Linked DNA regions of Saccharomyces cerevisiae S288C. The protein of the gene in region 2 interacts with the protein of the main gene of each other region in a biochemical or structural test. Each region holds a gene or a part of one and is shown on either strand. Other genes may lie near its edges.

Region 1 (3,590 bases), on a different chromosome or scaffold from region 2:
GATTGCATAGCATGCCAAATGACAGTATGGCCATACTTGCGAATAACAGTGCTAATAATTCGCAAAATGAGGAAGTATCAGAGGAGGATGAAATATCATACGATTATGATGCAGAGTTCGATCATGTTGTAGATGAGGATGATAATGAGGAGGGAGAAGTGCCGGGGGAAGGTGTGGAAGGTATAGAAGTTCAGAGAGAGAGAATTGTGCCGGATGACTTATTAATGAGACCCACTTCACTGTCACGCTCCCTACAACAGTTTGTGGAAGAGGCTCATCATTTAGATAGAAACCCATATGATATTGACAGTGATAACGACGGAGAAGATTCAAAGGTAGAACTGGACATGAATCCGGATTTTGAAGATGACGTGGGAAGAGAGCATGATTATAATAGCGAATACAGCCAAGAGCCGACTTCTTATGGTGGGATTACACCTGATCTAGCGAGTAATTGGAGGAATTGGACTAGGGAGAGGATAACTAGTTTAGATGAATTAATGGAGAGACGAGCCAGGCAGCAACGAGGTCAAGATTAGAAAAATGCTCTCCTCAGCACCAAAATTCATCTATCTATTAAGATGTATACATACACAAGTGCACCAAAAGTGCTTAGTGGTAGTTATATTTGCTGATTATATCTAAGTTATCTATTTACTTTCTCGGATTCAAAATTAACCATGTTGGGCAAAGCAGTGGATTGTAAGGGAAATTGATCCACTTTACTAGTTTGCAGGTGGATAGCGGGGATGACCCACTTACCACAACTGCACCTAGATCCTTTCCAGTTGTAACCGCCAACTTTACTTGAACAGCCTGGACATGAAAACTTCCCTTCTAACTCTTGCTTGCCTTGTAGTTCAGGTTGCATCCATTTTAAAGGTTCGATGAAAAAATGAGAGCAATTTGCTTGTGACTCTTGAATATCAATAATACGATGGGAGTTGGCGGCCCTCTTGATGAAGTGTCCCTCTGATGATTCCTTACTTGGTGGGTCATGCGCGATGAAAGATGTAGATAACGCCAATTTGGTTCTGCACTTCTTACATCTCACTGCGGTGACCTTGCTCTTCTCAGCTTCAGTTAATTTATCCAAGTCTTGCGACGACTCCGAATCTTTAAACATTCCAGAATTGGAGACCAATTCGCTGCCCGATGGATCTAACTTGATAGATTGCTTCAGCTTCCACTGCTTATAGGCTGGGTTGTCGAAATCGACAAAATCTCCACCCATTTTCTCAAAGAGATGTAATTGTTCCATGAAATTCTCGTTTGGCTCAACACTCGGTTTCTTCCTCTTGACAGCGTGCATAGCCATTGATAGTGACAATCCATAACGATACATTAGGTAGGCTACTATGAAGGTTACAGATCTCGAGAGTCCTGCTTGACAATGAGCAAAAACAGCACCACGTTGTGGTTTCTTCTTGAAATCTACTAATCTGGGCGAATACTCAACTTCATTGGGGAACAAGCATTGATCAATGAATCGGTTCGTTTCATCGAAGTATTGCAGCACATCAGTCACATCATCATCATCGATGGGTATGTTTTTTAGCGTGTAACCTTTCCTTATTAGATACTCTGGAATGACCTGGAATTTGATAACAGAAAGAATATGAGTAATGTTAAATTCTGCACCCAATGGTCTGTGGTCAATAATTGGACGGATTCCGCCAAGATATATGCCTCCTAATATCCTGGTAACTTCCTCGTCTACTGAGTTTGCATTTCCAGCCATCTTCCCTGTAATTTCTTGCTGCTTTTACTGCTTTCTCTGCGTTATACCTGTATTAGATGCATTCGATGAGCTGAGGTATAATTTTTTTTTTCAGTTAGATTTCTTTTTTTTAGCGCTAAGAAAATTTCAAAATTGCAGCCGTGGAGACCCAGATGGATATATTGTAGATCATTAAAAGTTGTGTCATCTCAAACTAAGAGTGGTTAATATATGTATGTGTGTAAATAACTTTTTATAAATTTGTTTCTTTTATTTCTATAGAATTTCTTTAATAAAAATTTGCAACTTTAGTTTAACGTCTAGAATCAAGCAAAGTTTGACCCAATGGTGTTTTCGAGACTCCGTTGGCATTCGTATATACCACCTGGCCTCTTAATATGGTTTTCAAAACTGTGCCCTTGACCGTCATCCCGTTGTAGGCAGTCAATTTGTTTTTGAAGTAGACACTTGAATTACTTATTTTATGTTTACTTGCAGTATCAAATACCACCAAATCAGCATCGTACCCGGGAGCTATAGTGCCTTTTTGGTGAGATAGTCCTACCTGATGGGATGTATTTTTACAGCACCATGTAACGATATCGACCAAAGAGCAGCCTTGGGTAAACATCAATGGCAAACCTAGTCCGACGGAAGCGATTCCTCCCCAAGAATCGAAAAAGTCACCTTTTTGCAAGTTCTTCAACTCAGGGGTGCATGGCGAATGGTCGCTCACTACTGAGCCTATAACACCTTCACGCAAAGCGTCCCATAGGCCTTGGCGATTAGACTCAGAGCGGATGGGTGGACAACATTTAAAGTAGGTGGCTCCGTCTGGGATCTGCTCTGCAGCAATACACAAATAGTGGAAACAAGTCTCTGTTGTGACTGGTAGCCCTGACGCACGTGCCTTTCTGATCAAGGGAATTGCTTTCATTGATGCCAGATGAACTATATGTACAGGAGGAACTGGTCCATTTCTGGCTCTCAAGCATTCGAGAATCAAATTGATGGCGTCTATTTCGAAAGAATCCGGCCTCGAGGACAAAAACGAAGAATATTCACGATGGCTTTGCTCGGGTTGCTGTTGGTCCTCATGTGCCTTGGGCAACTCAGCATGAAACATCATCATGGTATCCTCCTCGGCTAAGACCTTCAAGGCTTCTTCTATATATTCTTTGCCAATTGGAGGGAATTCTTCCACACCAGAATCAAGCAAGAATCCTTTGAACCCGCGAACGCCAGCTTTGACAAGCGGAATTAAGTCTGGCAAGTTGTGTGGTACCAGTCCACCCCAAAACCCAACATCGCACCACATTTGGCCCTCAGCAGCTTCCAATTTAATTCGGAAATTCTCCACATTTGTTGTGGGAGGAATAGCATTTAGCGGCATATCAACCACCGTTGTGACCCCGCCACTAATAGCAGCTTGAGTTCCAGTTTCGAATCCTTCCCAGCTAGTCCTACCGGGCTCGTTCAAGTGAACATGAGAGTCCACAAGTCCAGGCAGAATTGTACATGGAGATACGTTCTCCAGCGTATGTATTTCATATTTGGTTATCTCAGTTTTCTCCATAACCACGGAGCCTTCTAAAACATCCAGAATCGTGCCTGATTCGGTCGAATACACAATAGTCGCAGGTTTATTTGCACCATTGATAATGACATGGTCGGAAGTGATGGCATTGATAGGCATCTTTGTTCTTCGCAGTATTTCACTTTTTTTTTGCCTATACGTTTTTGCGAAATATACACTTTTCTAACCTAATTAAAGATAGCTAAAAGAAAAAGGGGTACCTTCAATTACAAGATACCAGTAGAAACTCATCACTTTTGCGTTACCTCATCATTGTCCCCTTCGATGAGATAT
Region 2 (2,772 bases):
CCAGTTGATCAGTTGAGGGGGGTACACACGACTAGCGCTTTCAGATATTAAAAAGTTTAGATGTAGGTTTTAGCGGTAACAGTTATATAAATCGTGTTTCTTCTCTTGATGAAACAAAAAAATGCTAGAAAAACTTTGTCGTTTCTTACTTTTGGTGCGCTTTGCAGTTTTCGTGGCTAGACTTAGAATCATTTCTCCTCAGATTTCTTGATTAAAGTTTGGTGCGAAGCCCTACTCTAACATTGGTGTTCTTCTTTTCATTCACGCAAGTTAAGTCCAGGAAGGTGAGCAAATGCTCATCCTTCTGTTCATGCGTGACGGCTGAATTATCCTTATCTGGCGTACCCGTGCAGCCGTTTCCGTGCCTCGGTTCCTCCGAGATATCCTTAGGGACCGCCAGGGACCATGATTGCGTCAACTGTTGTCACCGCTCCAGAGGATCCTCTGTAACCTTTTCAACCATAAAAATAGAAAGGGCACAGGGTTGGGGTATTTGAATTTTTTTTTTGGGTTTTTTCGTATTACTTATTACTTACCTTCTTTTCTATATAATTTTGTTTTTCCCTGGTAGAGCGGAATCTTCCCACTAAATTTTTAGCAGAGAATCCTCGGGTTTGTAAACCATGTTATAGTTAAACCCCGATATTACACCATTAAAATCATTTCTAAATATGCGGTCGTCGATGATCAGCTGCAGGGAAATGCCAAAATATGGACCCCATAGAGGTCTTGGCTTGTTCATATCGTTGGGTCGATTTCTGTTCCCAGTGTTATTTGGTTGAATGGGAACAGTCGCGTCTTGCCCCATCTTGTCTCTGCCGCTTTCGTCGAATCTGACTTTGCAATTGACGTTGCATATCAACGTGCCGGATCCCGGAATAGCGTGATAGTCTACTCCTGTTAGGGCATGTTGTGTTTGTACGACCTGGTTTTGCCACATTTGCAGAAAAACTGTTGCTTGCGCGAAGGGGGTAGCATTAAATATTATTCTGCAGTTGTTTGGATTAAAAAGCTGTACGAATTGGGCCAATTTGTTGGAGTCCGGATCATCCAAATGCGCTAATATCTTCTTCGTAAATGTGGCCGTTATTTGTGCTTGATTTGCGTCATTCATTACCATAGTATTACTATTGGTGTTCATATTTCTGTTATTACTGTTATTAGTTTGGCGTTTTGCCTGACGATCAGCCTGGTGGGGCCAAGTATATACTATAAAAACAGGTTAGTTACTTGCTCTATGCGTTTGCGCATCCTCTTTTTACTTTTTTTTTTTCAGTAAAGCCTAAGCATAAATCGTTTTATACGTACGACACGTTCAACTTTTCTTGGTTAGTAGTGGCAATCTCTGCAATACATACAGGGAGTCATGGTCTATCATCTTGTCCAATCAAAGAAGCATCGGTTCAGATCGAGCAAACTGTAGGGAGAAAGGAAAGTAGAAATGCAGAGTGTGCTATATGTCCAATCTCGGTTTTGTAGTTTGGATGTCATTAGAGATCTACCACCCAACCGGCTGCTTTCATGTGGAACAGAAAAGAAATCGGGGCGCTTCCTCTTCTGTATTCCTTTAATTAACGTTTTTATTCAGCCATCTAACCATCATACCCCCATACGGTAACAAAACCTCTTCTAAGAAAAGAAGTCTCTGCTCCTCCGCCATCTTATTTTTATTCGCTGCGCGCGTTTATTGTCGCATCGCTAGCCAGCAAAAAGTTGGTTGCCTTTTTTTACCTAAAAAAGACACATCTAACTGATTAGTTTTCCGTTTTAGGATATTGACGCCAAGCGTGCGTCTGATTTCTACGATATGTCTCTAATTTTGGAAGGGCCATTTTATTTTTGAGGATTGGGCTGATCATTTTCCTTACGTGGATTGAGCCAGCAATACAGATCATTATTAAACTGTTTTGTACATGATGTTAGTATATAATCGTAAAGCTTTTCTAATATGTATACCTTATACATGGAACTCCACAGAACTTGCAAACATACCAAAAATCCTTTATTCTTGTTCACTCATTTTACATCAAAAAATAATATTTCAGTTATTAAGGAAAATAAAAAAATAGATTAGAGAAGCATTTTGAAGAAATAGTATATTCTTTTATTGAACCTAAGAGCGTGATATTTTTACTCGAAATAAAATACGAAAAATCTATACACTCATCTTTCCGACTACTATTGGCTCCTGCTCAAAAAAAGAGGGAAAAAAAGCTCCAAAATTCTATCTTTTCCTATCGCTCCTGTCCTATCCTTATTACGTTCATTACTATTTTAATACTATCCATTCTTTTATTTTCAGTCTAAAAAAAACATTTCTCATAACGGGAAAAGCAAAAAAATGTCAAGCTTATACATCAAAACACCACTGCATGCATTATCTGCTGGTCCGGATTCTCATGCAAATAGCTCCTATTATGACAATCTTTTATTGCCTTCATTTTCCAATTTATCCAGTAATATCAGCAGGAACAATATCACAACCGATAACAATATAAATTCAGCAAGTCCTAGGAAGTATTCGTTTCATTCGCTCAATGTGTCGCCAATTCTTTCCCCAATATCTTTGGCTAACGAAATACTTGGAAAAAAATCAAATACTGCACCAGCATCGCCACATCATATGGATTACAATCCAATTTCCTCATTAACACCAGGCAATTCACCAGAATTCAACAAGGCAAGCTTATCTCAGATTAGTTTTACAAATCCATTGAACTATGGGTCTGGCTTAGGTTTTTCCTCTAATTCACAACCTCGACTACCATTGTT
Region 3 (4,195 bases), on a different chromosome or scaffold from region 2:
GGAGCAACTACATGCAATCACTATACGTACGTAAATATACTCTCCTATAAAAAGTAAATATATGAGAAAAATTTCCGCCCATCTACTATCAAACTATAGACTGTGGGAATACTCAGTCATTGTTAGCGAAAAAAGGCGGGATAGAACTTATTTTAGGCATCTTGAGCTTATTTCTTAATGCGTGGGAAAAATTGTAATTTGTGAAGCTTAAGGATAATCAGACGGAAAAGCTAGCTTGGATCCAAGAAAAACTCCCGGTAACCAGGCCAGCAGCCCCTAAATGGTCATCCACTAACACAAATTACTTGAACATGTTGAAATGTGTTGAAGAGCCATGATATTTTTATTTTTTATTCGAAAGAAGAATTAAACTGAGGAAAGAAAGAGCAAATTAATAGAGGGCCGTTTTATAATATCTCTAGGACTCAAAAATTCTTCCAAGAAAATTTGTCCGGGTAACGAACATAGTTTTATTATCTTAGGTCTATTCTCAAATAACGCTGTCATTAATTGGCGAGATGAAAAGATAATAGTACACAGTTTTTTTGAGAAGATATATGTTAGTTACCGCTAATTATTTTCAATGCTAAAAACTTTGCTTTTCGCATTTTTACTTTTGTTTTTTTTGTTATGTCTCTTACCAGCTGAACTATTTTGAACTTTGTGGAATGGTGTACTTAATCTACCTTCGACGTTGTTCATCTTGAAGAAGTCTCTATCCAAGTCCTCAGCGGCATTGTACAATGCAGCTTGTTTACCACCGTGCGTAACAGATTTGGCTTCTTTTTGTGTGTCACCACCAGTGTGAGCTGAAAACGTTAGCTGATTCAAATCACGAGCTAAATCCACGATATCAATGCCTTTAGCCTTAGCAGCATTTTGCACTTGCTCCTTTCTGGTGTCCGGTAATCTGTCGAACACATATAAATCTTTGTTAAATTCTTCACACTCTTCTCTAGTGTAAGGTGTATCATCCTCTAGATGGGGCGGAGGGTTGACATACAGTAATTTCCCATTGACGTAATCTTTCAATATATAACGACTTGCTCTTGGTTCATCAGCAGAACCGTAACCTTGAGTCATATAACCACGAGCTCTGGCGTATGCGACTAACAATTCTTGAGCAGTTGGTATATCCCCATTCCCACCTTCATCCCTTGATTTGGTTTGAATATGGATACCATAAATCGCTTCAATGTAATACTTTGGTATTCTTTCTGCTACTAAACCTGCTGGACCAATATAATCACGTAATTGATCAATAGGTAAAACACCATTACACACGAGCTCACCCTTGTTATATGCAAAGTTTGGGAAGACAAGACCGGGACAGTCACAAAGCATGACAGAATCAGATAACTTAATAGTTTGGAAGTGTTTTGTTTTACCAGGCGTGGATGAAACAGAAACTTTCTTGGCACCCACGAGCGAATTAATAGTGGAGGATTTACCTACATTTGGATAACCAACCAAACCAATATTAATCAGTGGAGGTTGACCGGGCAGAGGTGGCAATAAAGGCTCGTTTGGAGCTTTTGATAAAAACAATTCTTCCAGTTGGTCAATGGACAGAATTTTAACTTTTTCCATAACTTTTTCATCAGCATCGAACCCTTCTTTATCAGCTTCCTCGAAATCTTGTTCTCTATAATCTTCCCCCATTTCCTTTTGTTTCTCCAATAATTGATTAGCTCTCAATGCAGAGTAAAACGTGAACGAAATATTCTTGGAGATAAAGTACTTTGCCCAAGCGATACGTTGCTTTTTGGTCAATAAATCTGCTTTATTAACTAGCAGTAAGTTTGCTTTTCTGTCATCTGACTCTTTTACATATCTTTCTAAATCGACAGATCTAAACAGCAACGGATTCCTCGCATCTACAATTTGAACAACTAAATCTGATCTTTCAACAACTCTCCATAACTGTTTCCAAACTTCGATATTTCTTTCAAACGGTGTTAACAACAAGTCTTCATTGCTTTCTTGTAAATGTGCCAATTTTCTTCTCCATTCTAAAAACGCTTCCTTTTCTTGCCTATCAAGCTGAAACTTGGACATGCCCTCGTTCCATTCAGGCCTCCTTGGAACAATCAAATCCTTAGCAAGCGCTCTTTGCTTCGCATTAAGATTTCCACGCTGCTCATTAGTCATAGAAAACCCTTGAGATGTCGCAGAATCATTACCGCTATCCATTCTAATAATTTTAACATTTGAATGTCTATCGGCCGTGAAATCTTTGTCTGCCAGTGCAGCTGTACTCAAGAATTCATCTAAAGCTGATTCTTGAGTTACAGATCTTAATTTAACCCAGTTGGCCTCATGCTTATCGGTAGTGAACCTCATTTCACCATCAGGTAAATACTCGATGGCATTTTCTTTTTGACGTGCATATTTAATAGCTCTGCCTAATTCAAGCTTATTTTTATTTTTACGGTGGGTAGGTTTTGGCCCTTTTGGCGCCTTCCATTTCTTGGGAGCTTCTTTTGGTGGCATAGTTGGTGGGGGTCCTCAATATCAGATTTAGTTTTGTGTTTAAAAGAAGTTGGCTTATAAGCTCATCACCTCTTTATTAAGTAGTAGAATGCATTTTCATTGACAAATTTTTTAATCTCGGCATTGAAAAATTTCCAGGCGAAAAGGCGAGGGAAGGGAAGCTTGATATAATTCGAAAGAATACCCAATATCAAGAATAATAATATCATTTGATGTAATATCATTATATTTGTAAGAGCTTTTTAAAAGCATCATCTTTCTTGATTCATCTGTTGCCTCGTATTATACAGAATAATGCACACGTATAAAGTACCAATATATAATGTTATGTATACATATATTCTTATTTATTGTTGGGCAGTAATTACTGACATACACTTAAATTCATTTGAATAAGTGGCTTTCCATAAACGTACCTTCCCATCATCCCCAGCACTGCTTAAGATTGTACCCGTTAAATTCCAAGACACGGACCAAACTTCGCCATTATGGTCATCATGCTCGCTTAGAAGTTCAACTTGCAAGTTTGATTGTAGCTCAGCTTTCTCTTCGGTATTTGAGTCTGATCTGCCCTGTGCATCCATGTCAACATCAGCACTATTATCAAACATATTTGAGTTAGTTAAAGACTCCTCTGAGGCCAGGGGACTTAGTTTTTCTGTGATTTTGAAAATTCTAATTCTACCATCTTTGCAACCTGTTGCAATGAGTTGATACCATCTACCAATGGAAGGAGCCCAGCTGATACTTCTTATTAAACTTTTATGACCGGGAAGTTTTGCTGCAACGTGAAGTTTACCGTCTTTACCCCTTTGGTATATAATCGCTTGTTCCAATGCAGAGACTGCGAGCTTTTCAGGAGAAAATCTCGAAGGACACCAAGAGAGACAAAAATCAGACTGTAAATGATTTGCTGGTGGTATAGATAGCACTTTCATCTCAGAAGTCAGTGTCCATGACCTTAGGTCAGAAGGTTCTAAGGCATCATAAAGTCTGAGGATTCCATCGTTACCCAAACAAGCTAATTTTAAGCCCAAATGCGCTGGCGCAAATTTTACACTATAAAGTGATCCTTTGGAATCATTCAGGGTACACAGCTTGTTCCAACGACGGCCAGAGCATTCTTCTTGGTCGGGATCTTCTTCCCATAATTTTACCGTCTTATCGTAAGAGGCTGAAGCAATGATGCGCCCATATTCTGGACTGGCCCAATCAATGGCCACGATACTACTGTCGTGAGCTCTCCATGAGTCACTGAGTTCCCAATTACTCGTGTCCTTGTCTAATTTAAAAACTTTAATATGTTGATCAGAAGAGCATGTTGCCACATGTCTTCCGTAAAAGTCATAAACGACATCATGAACTAAATCATCATGCCCACTATCAAATGGTTGCATATTCAGAAATATTATTGGGTCGTTCTTCTTCTTCCTTAGTATCTCTTCAGAAGGGAAACCTTGTTTATAATTTGGTTTACTTGTCTCTATTCAGTTCATGATTTTTTCCATCGTTTTGCCGAAGACTTAACTAACAATAAATAAGAGAAACAGATATATTAAAACTTGGTTGATAATGCAGCACGCACATTCAATCGCGAATAATATACAAAAGATTATTTCTAAAGTTACATATAATGCACACCGGGTGCTGGAAGTATAATACATGCAAAATAAAATGGGCACTATCTCGTTGAAAAGCATCA

The links.
Region 1: the proteins of MTR2 (region 2) and YVH1 form a complex in vitro, tested with the Saccharomyces cerevisiae proteins (one study listed by BioGRID).
Region 3: the proteins of MTR2 (region 2) and LSG1 form a complex in vitro, tested with the Saccharomyces cerevisiae proteins (one study listed by BioGRID).

The regions. Positions count from the first base shown.
Region 1 is NC_001141.2:404,227-407,816, forward strand, and holds YVH1 (tyrosine protein phosphatase YVH1), read right to left. Parts: upstream 1,742-3,590; coding exon 647-1,741; downstream 1-646. Other genes in the region: MND2 (Mnd2p), read left to right, coding at 1-539; DAL1 (allantoinase), read right to left, coding at 2,034-3,416. UniProt on the Saccharomyces cerevisiae protein: May be directly involved in signal transduction and/or cell cycle regulation. It is necessary for maintaining growth rate or spore germination. Could show both activity toward tyrosine-protein phosphate as well as with serine-protein phosphate.
Region 2 is NC_001143.9:92,158-94,929, forward strand, and holds MTR2 (Mtr2p), read right to left. Parts: upstream 1,142-2,772; coding exon 587-1,141; downstream 1-586. Other genes in the region: DNA-binding transcription repressor ASH1, read left to right, coding at 2,342-2,772. UniProt on the Saccharomyces cerevisiae protein: Affects mRNA transport from the nucleus to the cytoplasm.
Region 3 is NC_001139.9:312,929-317,123, reverse strand, and holds LSG1 (ribosome biogenesis GTPase LSG1), read right to left. Parts: upstream 2,494-4,195; coding exon 571-2,493; downstream 1-570. Other genes in the region: SEH1 (Seh1p), read right to left, coding at 2,841-3,890. UniProt on the Saccharomyces cerevisiae protein: GTPase required for the nuclear export of the 60S ribosomal subunit. Acts by mediating the release of NMD3 from the 60S ribosomal subunit after export into the cytoplasm.